2 linked regions of the Arabidopsis thaliana genome follow. The protein of the gene in region 2 interacts with the protein of the main gene of each other region in a pairwise test. Each region holds a gene or a part of one and is shown on either strand. Other genes may lie near its edges.

What was found. The genes of interacting proteins can lie anywhere in the genome.
Region 1: the proteins of DCP1 (region 2) and SPI interact in a two-hybrid assay, tested with the Arabidopsis thaliana proteins (one study listed by BioGRID).

What each region holds. Positions count from the first base shown.
Region 1 is NC_003070.9:723,883-728,851, reverse strand, and holds the start of SPI (BEACH-DOMAIN HOMOLOG A1), read left to right. Parts: upstream 1-1,960; coding exon 1,961-2,142; intron 2,143-2,504; coding exon 2,505-2,577; intron 2,578-2,729; coding exon 2,730-2,815; intron 2,816-3,027; coding exon 3,028-3,163; intron 3,164-3,243; coding exon 3,244-3,300; intron 3,301-3,442; coding exon 3,443-3,616; intron 3,617-3,770; coding exon 3,771-3,962; intron 3,963-4,105; coding exon 4,106-4,171; intron 4,172-4,462; coding exon 4,463-4,577; intron 4,578-4,732; coding exon 4,733-4,969. UniProt on the Arabidopsis thaliana protein: Involved in cell morphogenesis. May have a function in membrane fusion or membrane composition. Required for salt stress tolerance.
Region 2 is NC_003070.9:2,636,185-2,641,171, forward strand, and holds DCP1 (decapping 1), read left to right. Parts: upstream 1-1,852; 5' UTR 1,853-2,170; coding exon 2,171-2,329; intron 2,330-2,409; coding exon 2,410-2,450; intron 2,451-2,537; coding exon 2,538-2,587; intron 2,588-2,722; coding exon 2,723-2,867; intron 2,868-3,068; coding exon 3,069-3,125; intron 3,126-3,276; coding exon 3,277-3,391; intron 3,392-3,581; coding exon 3,582-4,061; intron 4,062-4,126; coding exon 4,127-4,183; 3' UTR 4,184-4,479; downstream 4,480-4,987. Other genes in the region: AT1G08360 (Ribosomal protein L1p/L10e family), read left to right, coding at 47-51, 464-683, 903-1,068, 1,251-1,510; PSAO (photosystem I subunit O), read right to left, coding at 4,820-4,987.

The DNA of each region.
Region 1 (4,969 bases), 1.9 Mb from region 2:
ATGTTTTTAGACTTTTAACCTTTAAAGGTCCATTGGAATTTTTTTGTTGGCAACTCCTATATTAGAACTTAGTCCTAAATGATTATAGTCGTCACATACAAATATTGGTGTTTAGATATGACATGAATCAGACAAATGAAATACTATAATAATTGTTGGAAAATTGTTTTAGAAGCAGAATTCGGACCAAGTTCTATCTTTAATTTTTTTCTGAAAATATATCGTCTCTTTATCATCAGATGTTCTACTTTTGGTTGATGACTATTTACCACCAGTACTATAAGGTTTATTGTTTGTTTAACATACGCGACCTCTGCATTTTGATAGATAGATAAATATATGTTAGAATTTTCTCACAATGACATAGTTATATTTTTAAGAAATTCATATATAAATTAAATATGAATTTAAATATGTTTCGTATTATTATTAAAAAGACATAAAAGTTTTGGTCCAAAAAGTGTTTAAATTTTGCAAAGAGGGGATCACGTTTCGCAATCGTTCAGCAAACCTATACGAACACGTGGCATTCTCGTCCCGTGGGCTCTACTTGCGATTGTAGACGTGAACCTAGAAACTACATTGGCCCTTGTTTTTCTTAATAATTATAATTTAGGTCTCGTTTGTTTCAAAACCTTCATCCAGATCCATATTGCCGTTAATTTTTCTAATTTCTGTTGATATTGTGCTCACTAGATAATAACTTTTCACAAATATGGTTTACAAATTCTTTTTATGTTGTGTTGGCTCTCGTATTACAAAAAGAACCTAAACTGTATGCTAAATAAATTTATTTATTATTTTGGCATGAGGTAAATATATATACTATGTATAGGCTTAAAAGTAAAAACTAAGAAAGGTAAAAATTAACTTTAATTTTAAGTATGAGTTAAGTCTATTGTAAAAATTCAAAAGTAGCAATGTTTTTTTTTCCCTATCCATATGGAATTTATTTTATTAAAAATATAATAAAACAAAATAATATCCTAATGTGTATCTCTAAAACATCCTTATTTGACCATTTGTATATAAACTAACTCAAACAATTATATAAAATGATAGAGAAGATAGAGTCAACCTTTGTTACTTTCACGAACGAAATGTCAAAGGTATTCAAGTGTCCCTAGTTGATAATTTTATATGCGCCATTGTTTTGGTCTACAAAATTTAGCTGTGGGGTTTGCGATGCAAGACTAATTTGGGGGTCAAAATGGTAATGAAATATTGTAGTGGTTATAAAATAGTATAAAACAAAATTTCAAGGGCTAATAAAGTAATAAAATTGGAAATAATTTACGAAGGAGAAACAAACAGTATCGTGTTTTAGAGAGAGAAAGTGAGACGACTTGAGCGAGAAACAAGGCGCGGAGAGAGACGACGCCGTCAACAACACCAGAACAGAAAAAAAAAACAAAGAAAGAAGGAAGAAAAAAGAGAGAGAAGGAGATTTGATTTAATTTAAATTTTCTTTAAGGAAAAAAAAAACAAAAACAAAATCGCGTTTTTCCGCTAAGCTCTTTTTCTTCCCTTTTTGTCAAAATTTGGGTTTTTGCTCATTCTCGTGGAAGGAAAAAAGGGGATTTTTTCAAGTGTTTAGGGGTTCACAAATTGAAAATTTTGGATCTTAGATCTTTCTTCTTGCTACGAAACCCTAATTCGTCACATTGTATCAGCTCAATTTGATCTTAAAAAAAAAAGACTATTTTTTTCCTTTTTGGGTCTCCTTCTTCTTTCTTTCTTTAATTTGAATTCCTCAATTTAAGGATTGTGTGTTTTGTTTCCTTCTTGTGAACGAATGAGAGTTTTGGGTTGATCGCATTTTTAGGGTTGATTTTATTTATCTGATCGACGACTCGGATCTGAGGTGGGTCGTGTTTGGAGACCGAGTCAGGGTCTGGTCTGGTCTGGTGAGGTCGTCGTCTTCATCGGATGAAAGTTTCTGGGATCGAAAAGCACAACGATGAAATGGGCAACATTGCTTAAGGACATCAAGGAGAAGGTTGGATTAGCTCAATCCTCTGACTCCGACCCCTTTCCCGTTGACCTAACTGCTCCGCCCTCTTCTTCTTCTTCTTCCTCTTCTCCTTCTTTTACTTACCCCTCCTCTTCTTCTCTTCATCACTTCAACTTCTCTCCTTCAAGGTAATTTCTTCTTCTTTTCTCTTCTGCTTTTGCTTCATCTTGTTCCGATGTTGCGCATCGTTGCTGCTAGTTATAGCTTTGCTTTTTTATGTTTGTTTGGGGACCAGAGTTTAGATTGCTTTATTAGTGATCGACACCAACCAAGTTTCTTTTAGATTGCTTTATTGCAACATTTGTGGTGCTACGTTTTTTGTGATAAGATTGATAAATGAGAGTCAAAGGCTGCTGCTAACTCAATTGAAACAAAAATATAGTCTTTGAAGCTGCAACACTTTTCAATTGGATTCTCTAATTTTGTTGACTGATCGCTCTTGTTGTTGTTGTAAAACTATTGTTGATCCTCTCTTTACTCCTCTCCAAAGCAGAGATAACCATGAGTTGGAGCTGGACTTCAAGAGATTATGGGAAGAGTTTCGTTCATCTAGTTCTGAAAAGGTACTTACTTTGATAATCCATACTCTTGCACATGCGTTAGTGAACGCCTTACCTTTATTCTTGGAACAATATCTCTTCTTGTATTTTCTACACTGGATGGGCTTACAAAAGGCTAGAAATTTATTAGTGCTAATCGTTCATATGTCATGCAGGAGAAGGAGGCCGCCTTGAATTTGACCGTCGATATATTTTGTAGATTAGTGAAGCGGCACGCTAATGTAGATCAGTTAGTTACTATGTAAGCTATTCCTAACTCGTTTTCCCTTTTTGGTTGGATATACATTGAATTGGCGTTTGTTGTCACATGATTTGGATTTTTATGGTGGAAAATGCGTTTCTCAACCTGTATGTTCTCCCCTGTCTAGCTAGTCTTCTTCCATACCTCATATTTTATCCTTGTAGGTCAGACATGGTATAATCACCAATTTGAGAAATTTATTTTAATCGCAGGTTAGTAGAAACACATATATTCTCCTTTGTCATTGGGAGAGCATTTGTGACAGATATTGAAAAGTTGAAGATCGGCAGCAAGACAAGGTCACTGAATGTAGAGAAAGTATTAAGGTTCTTTTCAGATGTCACCAAGGTTTGCCTTTTCTTTCTGAATGTGCATCTTGACATGTCACCCTCTCTTCTCTATTTTTAATCCATGGTTTCTTCCTACAGGAGGGATTTAGTCCTGGTGCAAACCTCTTAACTGCTGTTGAAGTACTTGTATCTGGGGTACATTTTCGACTTTTTCCTGTGTCTTTCATCTTACTCACTCCATAAAATCTTGCAAAGCTCAATTTCTTATCGTCCAGGATCCTTACTCTTTGATGGTTTTATGCCTTATATTGTGTTGCCTCTTATGTGTTCTTTTCAGCCTATCGACAAACAATCACTACTGGATTCTGGGATATTCTGTTGTCTAATACACGTTCTCATTGCACTTCTAGCATATGATGAACTAAGCAAAAGTAAAATAACTGGTGACTTAGAAGTTGTATCAGCGGAAAAAGATGCTGGATACATAGTTCTCCAGACTAGACGACTTGAGGTTCTGTTTCAATTGTTTTTTTTCCAAATCATAATACGATTAGATATGTTATTCGACATTGTTTTGAGCTACATATGACAACCAAGTTTATATTACACAAATGCTTTATCAGCTTAATAAATAATAAATACTTTGTGCCCCTTCATTCGTGTAGGTGGAGGGTAGTGTTGTTCATATCATGAAAGCATTAGCAAGCAATCCTTCTGCTGCTCAGAGTTTGATTGAAGATGACTCTCTTGAGTCGCTTTTCAATATGGTTGCCAATGGCTCCATTACAGTTTTTTCTCAGTATAAAGAAGGTCTAGTTCCCCTCCATAACATACAACTTCACAGACATGCAATGCAGGTAATTTTTGCGCATCTATTTTAGAGCATCATGCTATGAAATGGAAAAATTCCGTGAACGGCTTTCTAGATGGACAAATTAAAACTGGATTGAATAATCTGATGCTTATACTTTCATTTGGCACCCTTTCGTGTCTCTTCCAGATCCTTGGACTTCTACTAGTCAATGACAATGGGAGCACAGCAAGATACATACGCAAGCACCATCTGGTACGCCAGTGAATTATGCAGACTGCCTGAGTGTAGTATATTGAGTCTCATGCATACTTTTAAGCTGACCGTGGGTATAGTTTATTCTTTTTGCTAATGTTGAAACTATGTGAGATTTCCGTGATAAAGAACGTGGTTATCAGGAAACTTATGTTGATTTCAGGATAGAAGCAAATTATAATTAAATGTTGTATGCTTATGTTTTAGTTTCATCAGAAGCATAGTGTTGCAAAATGATAATTGCAACAAGTCATTGAAAAATATATTCTAAATTTTTGAGTTCTCGTGCAGATAAAGGTGCTCTTGATGGCTGTCAAAGAATTTGATCCAAGTTGTGGTGACTCAGCCTACACTATGGGCATTGTGGACTTGTTACTTGAATGTGTAGAACTATCGTACAGACCTGGTAAATGTAGTCTACATAGCTCTAAATATGTTATGTCCGTATGAAAGAATGCTGCGTGAGAGTAGAACATTCAGTAGTCACATTATATATGTGGACATGTAAGCTAAAGCTGTTCTGATTATGGCTACTAATCTTTTTCATATTTGACTTTGTAGAGGCTGGTGGTGTTAGGCTCCGGGAGGACATACGTAATGCACACGGTTACCACTTTCTTGTTCAGTTTGCCCTGGTTCTATCTTCCTTGCCAAAAAATCCGATTTTTGTGTCCAGTAATCATGATAGTGGTTCCGATGACCCTGAAGTGTTTCATGATGGAGAAAATACAAACAGTACGGAAAATGCTGATTTTTCATCACAAAACTTTGCTCCATCGTTGTCAAGATTGCTTGATG
Region 2 (4,987 bases):
TTTCGTTTCCAGGATCAGATCTTAGCTAAATTGAGACAAGCTCAAAATGAGGTACTTGACGCATCTCTTACATTCACTGTTTAATTAGAGAACAATACGTCTCTGAATCGTGATTCAGAGACGTATTGTTCTTCTGTCATATGCAATAAGTTTAATTAGAGAACAATACGTCTCTGAATCGTGATTGTTTTTTGGATGTGCGTTATTGATAGCTTTATGATGTTAATAGTCTAGGATTGACACGAAGTTGTTCTGCAGTTTTGCATAAATGCTCTTTACTAAGGCCTCTAAATTTGGATGACAAATCTAAATCTTGCCTCATAAAAATTTAGGTGTATTAAGATAAGATTATTTTGTATGGTAGTGTCTATAATGTGGGTTGTTCATGTTGAGGTTGTCAATGTTGTGTATTTTTGTTTGTTTAGTTAATTTGCTTAACTCTGTTCTTTGTGGGTTAATACAGTAAGCTTCAGAGTGAGGCCGTTCGTGAAGCCATCACTACTATCACAGGGAAATCCGAGGCAAAGAAACGTAACTTTGTCGAGACTATTGAGCTCCAGATCGGTCTGAAGAACTATGACCCTCAAAAGGACAAGCGTTTCAGTGGATCTGTCAAGTTACCACATATCCCCCGTCCTAAAATGAAGATCTGCATGCTCGGAGATGCCCAGCATGTTGAAGAGGTGATATATCTTTTCATGGAAATTGATCATTTTGTGCTCTGTTTCTTGTATAATGGTTTTGTGCTCATTTCATTTGGTGGCTCTATTAGTTTCATTTGATGTTGTATATGTCTTCTGAATGTAGATGCATGATGTTTTCGGAATTTGGTCATTGTTTATTTAGGCTTCATTTCTTGCATAATTAAATATTTGCTTATTTCATCTTGTATCTTTTCGTAGGCTGAGAAGATGGGGTTGGAAAACATGGATGTTGAGTCTCTAAAAAAGCTTAACAAGAACAAGAAACTCGTCAAGAAGCTTGCAAAGAAATACCATGCTTTCTTGGCCTCTGAGTCTGTCATTAAGCAGATTCCTCGTCTTCTTGGTCCTGGTCTTAACAAGGCAGGCAAGTTCTGGCTACAGCTAATATTCCATTGTTCTTCTTTACATCCGTTTTGATTTTGGATAGGTTTTAGTAGTCTATTTCTTTTGTCAATGTCTTTTTGATACAATGCCAATCCTTTATCCTGTGAGATTATGCTTCTTTGATGATTCTTAAGTAACATTCCTTTGCTTTACTTTACACAGGAAAATTCCCAACTCTTGTGAGCCACCAGGAATCCTTGGAGTCAAAGGTGAATGAAACAAAGGCAACAGTGAAGTTCCAGCTGAAGAAGGTTCTGTGCATGGGAGTTGCAGTTGGTAACCTTTCAATGGAAGAGAAGCAGATCTTTCAGAATGTGCAGATGAGCGTCAACTTCCTCGTCTCGCTATTGAAGAAGAACTGGCAAAATGTCAGGTGTTTGTACCTCAAGAGCACAATGGGACCACCACAAAGAATCTTCTGAGCTTTCACCTACTTAAAATTGGTGGCTATAAGACACTTCTTCTTACCCTTTCGTTTTTGTTTCAGACATATCTGTTAAACAGTGTAAGAGTTGTGCTGCTACTCTCCTCTTTAGCTTTTGGTTTGGATAATTTGAAATAACTGCAGTGATTTTGGTTAATGGATTTTGTAGCTTATATTATCTTTGAATTAGATGTGCTTATTTCAAAGACGAATCAATCCACAGATGTGAATAAAAACAGAAATTTTCGTTTTCAATTTGAAAATTGTCCTCGTGGACTGTTCCATAACCAAATTCTATTGACTATGCAGTAATTGATCTTTGAATTAAAAGGATCAACCCACTGATTATACTCCAATTGAATAAATATTCTTCTTTAATGTTGTTTATAATCTCTTAAGCAAGCTCTAATGATGTATTTTTGAAGCAAACTCTAATGCTTTTATGGTCAGTATATTTATTCTCTTAAGTTTTATAACTAAATTACCATTTTTTTTTGCCAAAGCAGACAACAAAATAGCGAAGTGCGTTCCAAAAGTTAGCGTTTTCGTCTCCGTCCCCAAATCTCTCAGCTACCTTAAATCAGAATTCTAGGGTTCTTCCGATTAGGGTAAAATCGAATCCAGATTTCCCAAAATTCTGATCTTTGATTTATAAAAGATGTCTCAAAACGGGAAGATAATCCCAAATCTGGACCAAAACAGTACGAGGCTCCTCAATCTCACAGTTCTCCAGCGGATCGATCCATACATCGAGGAAATCCTCATCACAGCCGCTCATGTCACTTTCTATGAATTCAACATTGAGCTCAGCCAATGGGTTAGTCTCAATCAATCTTCGATTACATAATTTGATGTTTGCTTCCCTACCTAATGATTGATCTGTCTTTTGTCATTCAGAGTCGTAAGGACGTTGAAGGATCTTTGTTTGTTGTCAAAAGGTTACTACTTTCGATCTTTAACTATGTGTATCTTATCTTTAATCGTCTTCTCAAATCTGATTGGATCCTTTTTTTTGTTTCTTTCAGAAGTACACAACCTCGATTTCAGTTTATTGTGATGAATCGTCGTAATACAGGTCAGGATTTATTCAAATAAAGTTGGTGTGTGTCATGTGTCTAGAAAAGGTTTAGATTTAGTAATATATTGCAAGTTCTTATTTAAGGATTCAGTATTAGTAATCATCAGTGTGTTGCTGTATTTGTCTGGATAGATAATCTGGTGGAGAATCTCCTGGGAGATTTTGAGTATGAAGTACAAGGTCCATATTTACTTTACCGTAATGCATCTCAAGAAGTAAATGGCATTTGGTTCTACAATAAACGTGAATGCGAGGAGGTAGCAACTCTTTTCAACAGGTATGTATATATAAGTCACTGCATATCAGGTAGAAACTGTTGGTTTCAATTGTTGGATCATGAATAATATCAATATCGTCTTTTATTTGCCTATTATCAGACAGTTACTTGTTGGCAAATATAATGTTCTTGTATATTTGTATGAACTTGAAATTACTCTTACTCGTTGTATCTCTGCCTAATGGTTCCTTGGCATGACAGAATACTCAGTGCATATTCCAAGGTTAACCAGAAGCCAAAGGCCTCATCTTCAAAGAGGTAATATTTTCATGATTAGATTTAGTTAGTACACCATTAGTTGTTTCTTGGATGTGTTTTCTTTGAGGTGGAAACTTGATAATCTAAATCATTTTTCCCGCTGTTATATCTCTTACTTGTTAAATTAAGTTAGATTTTCTATGTACTGCAGTGAGTTTGAGGAATTGGAAGCTAAGCCTACAATGGCAGTTATGGATGGTCCTCTTGAACCATCATCAACTGCTAGGGATGCCCCTGATGATCCTGCTTTTGTCAACTTCTTTAGCGTAAGTTTCTAAAGCTTCTGTTACACACTCACACTATCATCTTCACCATGACAGCATCTTATACGACTAATGGCAGGAGGGCTTTCTATTAGTTCTAGCCTTCTAGGTTCTTGAATTATCTTCAGCGTAGTATATGGTCCAACTTAGACTCCTCAAATTGTAACACTGAATTTATCTAAATTGTTGACAGTCAACGATGAATCTTGGGAACACTGCGAGTGGGTCAGCAAGTGGACCTTACCAATCATCAGCGATTCCTCACCAACCTCACCAGCCTCACCAACCCACCATTGCTCCTCCTGTAGCGGCAGCAGCACCTCCACAGATACAATCACCACCGCCTCTACAATCCTCCTCTCCTCTGATGACTCTCTTTGACAACAACCCTGAAGTTATCAGCAGCAACTCCAACATTCACACAGATTTGGTGACGCCGTCTTTCTTTGGCCCCCCACGAATGATGGCACAGCCACACCTCATTCCTGGTGTATCTATGCCCACTGCTCCTCCTCTCAATCCTAATAATGCGAGTCACCAGCAGCGGTCATATGGTACTCCGGTGCTCCAGCCTTTCCCACCCCCAACTCCACCACCATCACTCGCTCCTGCACCCACTGGTCCGGTTATCAGCAGAGACAAAGTGAAGGAAGCCCTTTTATCCCTGTTGCAGGTTCGTCCTTTACCACATCACTTTATTTGAGCTGCTGTGCAAACCTAACGAGTTGCTTTTGACAGGAGGATGAATTCATTGACAAGATTACCCGAACTTTACAAAATGCACTTCAACAATGAAGCTGCGCTGGTCAGCATCTACGTGTGGGATAGTGGCTGTTTGATCTAGAATGTGTAGTTAAAATGTAGTTTTGTTCCCTCTGAAAGTGTTGTTGGAACCTTATAAGATACTGCACTGCCCCCTTTGTTTAACTCTTGGAATTACTTTTTCATTTTATCTACTTTCAAGTTTTTACCTTTCCTCATCAATTTTTGTTTCGTAGTCGAAAGACATGTTAAAGACTTTAGATTCACAAATCTTCATGCATGTTTAGAGTTTATTGGAACATATACACATCAAGATTAATACAAAAAACATGAAAGAGTAAGAAGAAAGAGAGATAATTTTTCTATTTTTTAAAAGATTCGAGATTGCAAGACAAAAACTGTTTGTATGGTTCAAGTCAAAGACGTATTGTGATGTTTCGTTTTGAAGTATTATCCCAATCTTTTGTGAGCTTTCCCTCGAGAAACGCTTTTAACATTTAATACTTTAGTTAGACTGACAGACATTCTTAAAATCAAGATCATATAAGAAAGACTTGTCGAGATATAGAATGAAACATCAAATAGCAAAGAAAGCTTTGTTTTGATTGATAATATTACACATAACCAAGAGAGAGCATATAGTACAAACGAAAACAAGAATAGTTATCCTTAGAAGTAATCTTCAGTCCTGCCCTTGAATCCGATTTGTCCGAAAGTGAGGCAGAGGAAGAGGCCTAAGTGCCACGTAACCAACCACAACCAGAACTGTGAAGTGAGAGCTGGAGGAGTCGGGAAGTGAGCGAGCTCAGTTCCGATGCTATCGAAGAAGAGACCCGT